Ovis aries: one gene and its partner. The protein of the gene in region 1 purifies or fractionates together with the protein of each later gene. This does not show direct contact. Links are inferred from orthologs where the notes say so. Each region holds a gene or a part of one and is shown in the gene's direction. Other genes may lie near its edges.

Region 1 (4,552 bases):
TGGCTGTCAAGGCCCAGAAGAGCATGTCTGGGAGAGAGATTGTGGCGGCAAAGGCCCCTTTTGTTCCTAATAAAGAACTGGCATCACTTGGCTCTGTTTGGTTCTTCTGAGAGGACGGCCTGGGGACAGAGTCCCACTGGGGCGTCACCCCTCCCTGGACTTTTCCACGGGAGGACAGGAGGTTGAGGGCAGTTTCAGACCCTGCGGAAATGAAATGGTCCTAATGTCCAGCAGGAAGGCATGGGGGCAACTCGGGGACGATGCCCATGGGAGGATGGTTTGCGGGGGGGGCTCTCTGTCTGTCTGTCTGTCTGTATCGGGCAGGTCTCTGAAGAAGAAGCTCCCTTGGGCTGTGAAGGAGGTGAGAGGAGGGTCAAACTCAGTCCCCCAGACCAGATGTTCTGGGAGGAGGGTGGGGCCGTAGGGGAGAGGGCGGGTCTGTCCCCGGCCCCTGGGCTATGAGAGCCCAGAGTGCAGCACTAATCTGATCAGGGGTTGGACTAGGGTGTTGCTCCCTGATCATTTGGGGAGGGGTGCTCTGCTGCTGAAGGGGGAAGGAGAGAGACCTTCAGGCAGACCCCTCTCCTTGAAGCCACAGCCACCTGAGGGGTTAACCCCCGACTCCTGACCCTCCCTCAACCCCTGAGCTCATACCTTACCCTGGGAGGTTCCCTTGATCCTTGCCTCCCCTCATTTTGTGCTGCATCACCTCTAACTTTCCTCCGCTCCCTGCCCTCTTCATCCCTGACACCCAGCCCAAATCTAAGCCCCCTCCCAAAGCCCTCTGCCAAATCTAAGCCCCCTCCCAACGCCCTCTGCCACCCCACTGCTCTCGGTCCCTTCAGTCCATCCCTGAGCCCCAAGGCATGCCTCTCCTTCCCCATTCCATCACTCTGGCATCCAGCGCCTTTCTGCAAGGATGTGCCTGCGGGGGGTCCCCAAGCCTCCTTTGGGTGTTAGCCAGTTCCTCCTCCCAGACCCCCAGCTCCCACTGTCCCGGGGCTCACTCCACAAGGTAGGAAGCTCTTTGGGGAGGGGTGCAGGGCAGCGTGAGCCGTCCCCAGCACCGAAACTGAGGGGCCCTCCCTGTCTTCTCAGGCTGCCGCATCCCAGGGCAGTTTCCCACCTGCCACCTTCCACCCCTCTATGCTGGCTGCCTGGTGGGACCACGTCCTCCTTGTCCCTCATGCCCCAGGCACAACCTGTCCCTCCCCCCAGCTCCCTAAAACTCGAGCTGAGCTGTGCACACCCACCCTCCAGGCCCCTGCCTGTGCCCCTGGGGCTCTCCCATGTCCGTCTGTGCCTGCTGGGGCAGGAAGCTAGCTTTCCAGGCTGGGCGGGTGGAGGGGGGTGGAGGGGGGCCGTGGCGTTCACCACATCAGCCCACGATAGGAGGGCTGGGTCCTGTTCTCCCGCATCCCCTGCCATGGGCAGGGCCTGGCCCGGGTATAAATAGGTCAGACTGCTGGGTTCTCCCCATTCTTCCTCTCTCCCCATCATCTCTCCCCAGCACTTCCTCTCTCTTGGTGAGTTGTGGTCGCCTGACTGGCATGCAAGAGGTGTCAGGCCGAGGCTGGGTGCAGGAGAAAGGGAGGTGGATGGGGGCCAGAGGCACTAAACGGGTCCAGATGTGAGATTCCGATGTGGAGGCTCTGGGGTGGGTGGTGTGCGTGTGCACAAGTGCGTGTGCACTCAGGAAAGAACAACAAGTGTGAGGTGGCTGGTGGGAACTGTCTGAGGGGTTCTGTGATGCCGGGGCTTGCGTGCGTTGTTGCTGCTGTACACACTGGTGGGTGTGTGGGCTGGTGTCTGCTGGGTGGCACACTTGGATGTGGAAAGCACAGTGAAGGCAGAAGGCGCCTGTGGGCTCTGGCTGGTTATGTCCTAGGAGCCTCGGTCCTGCACCAGCAGCCCAGCCCAAGGGAGGGTGGCCTCCCCGTCCCTGCCCTGCATCCGTGCCTCTGCCACCTCACCCTGCCCCTCCCTATGCACTGGTTTTTTCCGCTAGGCCCCTGGGCAAGCCTCCAGCAGCCTCACCCAGCCCAGTGTTGGGAGGGGGAAAGAATGGGCTGGGGTGGGGCTGCTGTGGGCTGAGCGTACCAGTGAGTGAATGGACCAAGTGAGGGTGGAGAAAGTGCTCCTGGGGAGCTGGCTGCCTGGAACCCGGAGCCTGAGCACCAGGCCCTGCAGGGGTTCACTGCCCCAAGCATACATTTCCCTCTCCCGCTAGGAGCTGAACCCCTTTCTGGATGGGAGCAGTGTCACCAATGTGCTCCCTGAGGGATGGGAGTGGGGGGCATTTACAAATACATAGCTGGGGGTGGGGTGGGGAAAATAAGGTTGTCTCTGTGACCCTGCCCCCAGCTCCTGATTGCTGCCATGGCGTACCCCCTGGAGAAGGCCCTCGATGTGATGGTGTCCACCTTCCACAAGTACTCGGGCAAGGAGGGTGACAAGTTCAAGCTCAACAAGTCTGAGCTAAAGGAGCTGCTGACCCGGGAGCTGCCCAGCTTTTTAGGGGTGAGTGATACTGCCTGGGAGGCACCCGTCCTCTGTGAAGCATTACCTACAGCTGGCATCTGCTGCTGACACGGGCAATTTCCAGGCAGAGAGCTTACCCTGGCTGCCTGGGGCCAAAGCACGGTGAGCACCCACAGCTCACTTCCTAGCACCCTCAGAAAGAGGGCAGAGTGAGCAGATAGGGTATGGTGCTCTGTACAACTTCCCTGGAGGGAAACTGATGCTCAGAGAGGCTAAGTAACTTCCCAAGGAAGTCCGTGTTTAAAGCTGAGATCATGAACTGCGATGGTCAAACTCTTGCCATCACTCCAGCAATGAAACTTGTTGTTGTTTTTTTTTAAGATTCTGTGAAAGTTATATGCCTTTTTTTTTTAAGTTGAAATATCGTTGATTTACACTGTGTTTATTTCAGGTGTACAGCAAAGTGATTTAGCTATATATACACATATCTATTTTTTCAGATTTTTTTCCATTATAAGGTATTACACAATATTGAATACAGTTACCTGTGTGATACAGTAAATCCTTGTTGCTTATCTCTTTTATATACAGTAGTGTATATCTGTTAACCTCATATTTCTATTTTATCACCATCCCCCCGCCCCATAAACCATTTTTGAGTTTCTGTTTGGCTTGTGGACGTGAAGATACAGTTCTCTGGAGACACTCACACACTTACAGAATTCTCTTGAGCAATCCCAGATGCCGTCTGTATCAACCTTTACGCTGTTTATCTATTGCTTTCATGACCACTGTATGATTGGACTCTTAAAATGACCTTGGCAGAAGAGGCTGTGGTCTCCTTTACGCAGTTGTACCCAGGTCCTCAGACTTCATCTGAGGGGTAGCTTAGCCCCTAGGGCTGGAGGTCCAGAGCCAGGCCCCGCAGGGGTGCCTGTGTCCTCCTGAGCTCCCGTCTGGAGCTCAGACCTCACCCGGTGCTAGCTCTGCTCCACTTCCCGACCCCGACCTCGCTTCCGGTTTCCACCTGTAGCCTCTTCCTCCTGCAGAAAAGGACGGATGAAGCTGCGTTCCAGAAACTGATGAGCAACCTGGACTGCAACAAGGACAACGAGGTGGACTTCCAGGAGTACTGCGTCTTCCTGTCCTGCATCGCCATGATGTGCAATGAGTTCTTCGAAGGGTTCCCTGATAAGCAGCCCCGGAAAAAATGAAGGCTCCTCAGGTGTGGGGCAGGGGTGGGCTGCCAGCTGGGGTCTTCCCTGTTGGCGGTGGGCGCATCACCTCACCCTGGCTCCTCCAGATGTGAGCACAATACTGAACAAGTTCAATAAAGATTCTTGAAAGCTATGAGGCTGATGGTCTGAGAAACTCCGGGGGCGTGGGGTGGGGCCTGAGGGATGCCTGGTGGGGCCAGTGGGGAGGGGGTAATGGAGGATGCTGGGAGTTGAGCTGTAGTCTTCTGGAGAGTGGAGAGCAGATTAGTGAAAGTGGAGAGGGATGTGGGGGACTGTGCATGTGTGTGAAGGACAGAGTCGACTCTGGATGGGGTCAAAGGCAGGGAAAGGGACCCCAGAGGCTTGGAACATCCTGGCTGTAGGATCTTAGCCAGTGTTCTCACCCATCCCACCTCCCCAGCCTTGCCTCTGGCAGGATCTCTGACTGAGGCTGGGATGGATTCGGAGGTCACATCTGCTCCTGGTTGGGGTCTGGAATGGAGTGTGGGTGCCCTGGGGTGGTGGGGAAAGGGCTGAGTCATGGGGAGGAAGTAGTGAGGCCAGAGTGGGATGGGGAGGAAGGCTCAGTCCTGACACTTACAGCTCGGGCCCTGCCTGCCACCTGTTCCAGTGGCCTGGCTTCAGACCCCAGGGAAGATGAATCCTTCCTGTCCAGGGTCAGATCAGGAAGGGGACATGGAGGAAGGGCAGCTTGATGGCCACAGCGTGAGCATATCATCCTTCTCTAAGCCTATCTCTCCTGGAGGCCCTGGGATGAGATTCGTTACCAGTTAACAGTCATGCTCCATCAGAGGAGGACAGAGGACCTTGGAACTGATGAGTGTAGGACAGTA
Region 2 (4,798 bases), on another chromosome or scaffold:
AGCCCAGATAAGAGAGTTTTAAATGGCCAGCAAAGAACTGCATGGCAAGAGGGACCTGATTTGGAAGAGGAAGATGCTGACAGCAAAACCAAACAGGGTTTTAGCAAACTTATTTGGAAGTAGTGCATAGAAGGACTTAGAGCTGGGGGAAAATGGATTCAGTAAAGTTAGGAGCTTGGAGCAGTGTAGGTTTGACAAACAGCACAATGTTGATAATATAGAAATTGGTCTGTGAGAGCAGTTGCTGGGGTTGGTGGATTATTATTATTATTATTATTTTTGGCATTATATGTGTGTAGATTGTGGGCAATCACTGCTCTAGAGAGAAGAAATAGCTTCAGAATCCAATAAACCTTGGTTTCAACTGCAGTCCTGGAGCCATTTACTTATGTAACCTTGCTGAGCCTTTCATTCCTTTATGTTGAAATGGGGCTAATGACACTCACTTTACAGGATGGTTGTGGGAATTAACTCAGACACACTGGTGGACTCTGTGCATCCCTTCTACAATTTGTGGCAGAATGGCAAAATAAACACGTCCTCATCCATCAAAAAAACAAACAATAAAAATGAAGAGAAAGTCAGTAATCAGTGCATTGTAATTCCAGAAGATGACGGATAATCTATCTTTATCTCATATAAAGACGGCCACGTTTCACAATTCAGTCCTGCCTTGGGGCAGTTATTAGGCAAACTGAAAGACCCATTTCCTGAGAATCTCTCTGTTCTATTAGCCAGGGTATAGCCTGATAGCTGCCAGGGTAAACGTTAGTTAATTCTTAATTGATAGCTCAGCCACTGCAATTGATTCCATTCAACAATAATTATTCTCCTGTGGCTTGCTGAACTCAATTGTGAGATTTCCACCCCTTTTCAGTTGTGTATAAAAACAGCAGCCCTGAGGTCTTTAAAAAAAGGTAAACAGTAATTTTTATTACTTCAGAGGTTCAATTTTATTTGCCTGGAAGCTCGCGTGCTGTGATTTTCGTCACTAAAAGCAAAAGCAAACCGCATGGTCGATAACGCCCCAGGGTTAACAATCTAGAGCTGGGTCGCAGTTTCTAGGATTGTCCTCCCTATCTTCTCGAAGAGCTTTTGAAGTTCTAAATTTCCCGTTCTAAGGGAACGCCCAGCAACCCCAAGATAAAAGGGGAGCTGAGCGAGCTGGCGGTTTCCTTTATTTGTCTGACTTCAAGCTAGCCATTTTCTGCTGCACGCGCCGCCGGACTCGGACTTGCCCGTGACACACAGGCGACAGTTTTTCCTTCAAAGGGGGGCTTGGATAGGTTAGTTTCGTTTCTGACCTGGGGGATTGGGAAACGCGCCAAGAAAAGTTTAAAACACCACCTGCAAGGATCTTCCTCGTACCATGATTCTCCTTCCCTTACAGATAGCAGGAAAGGCAGCATTTTTTTCCATCAACACCCACTTCCAGCCCAGCGCCGGGCTCAGAGAGGAATGTGTAAAATTAGTGGGCTCCTCTGAGTGACAGTCCGAGGGCCCAATCAGAGCGAACCGCGGCGCGCCGACGCCCCTCCCGCGCGCTCTCTTTGGCTCTTTCCCGCGGCGAGGGAGGTGGGAGGGCGCGAGGGAGGGGAGGTACCTGGGACTGGGAGTGATGTCAGCTCCCAGCTCGGTGCTTGCCCGGATTCCTGACATGGTGTAGGGCCGAGAGGGTGGGGAAGGCGGGAGCCGGGCGAGAGAGGACTCGGGGCAGCCAGCCTGCGGTGGGGCCGGAGTGCCGGCGCTTTGAACTCCGGGCGAAGGTGAAGCACAACTTTTGCAACTCGTGCTGGCGGCTCTCCTCCCCCCAGGTAAGGGCGCTTGGCTCCTCTCGGGGACCGGAGTGTAGTGGCACCGTTGTGTGGTTGCAGCTGCTCCTCCTTTTCACCGCTCGATTTTCTTTTCCAGCTCACTCCAGTTTCCCAGTGGGAGCAGGCACTTTTTGGTGGGTGGGGTAAGGCTTAACTCCTGGGGCTCCCAACTAGCTTTTAGGTGAAAAATACCTCCAGGATTGGACGTGTGAGATCTTGTCTGTTTCCTTAAATACCGCCCCCTCCCCAGTCTCCTAATAATACTTGAGAACCCCAATCAGAGAAGTGTGGTGTCTGTGTGTGTGGGTGTGTGTAGGGGTGTGTGTGTGTAGGGGTGTGTGTGTGTTATTTTAAAATGTCACAAAAAGTTTATGAAATATCGACTCAAAAATTATGATGAGAGAACAAAAGTTTTTGTGTTTTATTGGCTCCCCTGTGGTGTATTACATTTAAATGAAAGTCTGTCAATGTTATTCATATTTTTTATATCATAATATAAGAAATCCTTTTTTATAGTTCCGTCAGAACGTGAGAAATTCACTTGGAGTGTATTAATTATGAGCTTGTGGGAAGACCGGTCTCTTGGGGGCATGCTTCAACGCCGGTTCTTTTTCTCTCACATCCTAACGGAGGATCCCTTTGGTTGCCAACGTTGTGATCTGGAAAGGTTAGAAAGGCTGTTGAGAACCTTCATATCTGTTTTCTGTGGCTGTTTCAGAGAAAGACGAGAGCTGGTAGTTGTTTTCATGGATCATTTTTAGAGAAGGGAGTTTTAACTGGGAAATGTGGCTGAAGGCGTGGCAAACAAACTCTTAATTATAGGAACATGAATTTTTCAACATGTGGGGCCAAAACAGATCCTTATTTTCAATAAGAATTGCAGGGAGCAATAGAAGAAGAACTTGATCTCATGTTCCAGTTCGGTATGTAGGGAAAGGAACTGCCTGTAGGGAGCAAAAGGATATTTAGATCAGCAGAAGTACAGAATTCTGTTTTTTTGTTTATTTCCGGTTTCAAACCCTTTAGCTGTTTCTTGCTTGGTGTTTGTGTGCCCAGGTCACTAACTGGGTATGATTGACTTTCTGGGGAAAAACGACCTCATACACTGATTGAGAACCCTCACTTATCAGTGCTGAAGGCTCTTTCTTTTGGGGAAGCAAAGAAAGTATTTGGGCTGGGACTCCTGAGTCAAGTTTCCCTTTCTTTCACCAGAGTGCCTCAGCAGTGAGGATCCTTCTGTTGCCAGGTCGGGAGGAAACGGGCGTGGACTTCTTTGTGAATCAAAAGCTGCATCCCAGGTGCCTGTACGTCAGGGCATTTCCGGAGAGGAAAGAAAGAAGCCACAATATTGCATCTAATAAACCCAGGTCGGGAAGTGTGGAGACACAGGACTTTGTTGATGGGGTTCTCTGTGTTTCTAGCCAGATACCAGTTAGGTTGCAGGGCAAAAAAGAGGTGTTTTGTTTGCTGTTGTTTATAAAACACCTAAGGGCTTCCCTGGTGGTTCAGTGGTAAAGAATCCACCTGCAGTGCAGGAACCACCAGAGACATGGGTTCAGTCCCTGGGTGGGGAAGATCCCCTTGAGGAGGAAATGGCAAACCGATCCAGTATTCTTGCCTGGGAAGTCCCATGGACAGAGAAGCCCGGCGGGTTACAGTCCAAAGGGTCGCAAAAGAGTTGGACACAACTGAAGTGATTGAGCGCACACTCATGCATGCATGCATAAGACACCTGGATCTGTATTGTTCTTAAAATTTTTAATTTGCACAGGATGGATTAAGAGTAGATTTTTTTTTTGCAAAGAGGAGGTGTGCTTCACTGAAAAAGCGTATATATTTTAATTTTGGGCTGTGTTTTGGACTGAGAAACAGAAATTGGCTAATGTCACTGAAATAATGGTGACCGAGTCTTTGCTATTTATGTTCTGTGAAAGTGAAAGAGTTATTTGTTCAGTACAGTCTGACCCTTTGTGACCCCATGGACTGTAGCCCCCCAGACTCCTCTGTCCATGGGATTATCCAGGCAAGAATACTGGAGTGGGTAGCCATTCCCTTCTCCAGGCGATCTTCCCGACCCAGGGATCAAACCCAGGTCTCCTGCATTACAGACAAATTGTTTACCATCTGAGTAGAAGTACATAAAACACACTGTATTTTCCAATGCACTTTTTCAGCAGGAAAGTCCAGGAGGTGAGGTGGAATTCCTGTGGGCTGGTGAGAGCTCTCTGAAGCCTTGACTGATGGAGTATTTGTAATACCGAAAGAAAGCTGCAAAAACCAGTCAAGTAGTATCATTAGGATGTTATCTTGTTTTCCAAATTCAGATTTATAATTCTTTCCAAGAAATGAGTCCTTGCTTACTGACTTGAATATAACAAAGCTTTAAATTGCATTCGCAGTTTGAGTAGCAACCTTTAAGTTTACATACTTATTTTTAACCAACATTTCTCTTTCTCCATCTGTGTGTAGGAGGCAGATGTGGTATACTAAAACACAGTATGTTCAAAGGACAAAACTTGAAAGATGTTTGAGTTATTGAGAAAGGTAGAATCAGGTTTTGGTTAAATTCTTTGACCAGCTACGATAGCTCCTTTAAAAAATGGGATAATCTGGCCTTTGTGGACAGATGTTTACTTGAAATACAGGGCACACTGTTGTTACATATCAATAGTGCCTAACTTCAGGGGCATTCTAGTCATTTTTTGGAATCAGGTTCAGTGAGAGAGCGTTCATTAACTGTTTAGGTAGTCTTTTTGTTGCTCACTGTGCTTGCAGGAGATAAATCAGAATAAGGTCAATTCCCCCCCCCCCCCCCCCCCCATTACTGACTAGCTGACTTCTTTTTAAAACCTTTCATATTTATGAACTAGTTGTACTTTTGTAGTTAATTTAGATTATGTTGGTAATTTGTCACATTAAAAGTAACTTTTTGAGGTTCTGATCTCCCATTTTAAAAAATACCTATATCCTCAAAAGCACATCTT

What was found. Proteins that work in one complex are often made in the same cells at the same time.
Region 2: the proteins of S100A4 (region 1) and PPFIBP1 purify together in Homo sapiens (co-immunoprecipitation; 3 studies listed by BioGRID and IntAct, with this or other methods). This does not show direct contact. The link is inferred for Ovis aries from reciprocal best matches to the Homo sapiens genes S100A4 and PPFIBP1.

The regions. Positions count from the first base shown.
Region 1 is NC_056054.1:104,001,537-104,006,088, reverse strand, and holds S100A4 (protein S100-A4), read left to right. Parts: upstream 1-1,368; 5' UTR 1,369-1,526; intron 1,527-2,364; 5' UTR 2,365-2,379; coding exon 2,380-2,520; intron 2,521-3,530; coding exon 3,531-3,695; 3' UTR 3,696-3,831; downstream 3,832-4,552. UniProt on the Homo sapiens protein: Calcium-binding protein that plays a role in various cellular processes including motility, angiogenesis, cell differentiation, apoptosis, and autophagy.
Region 2 is NC_056056.1:187,918,023-187,922,820, reverse strand, and holds the start of PPFIBP1 (liprin-beta-1), read left to right. Parts: upstream 1-1,646; 5' UTR 1,647-1,814; intron 1,815-3,026; exon of another isoform or gene 3,027-3,181; intron 3,182-4,798. UniProt on the Homo sapiens protein: May regulate the disassembly of focal adhesions. Did not bind receptor-like tyrosine phosphatases type 2A.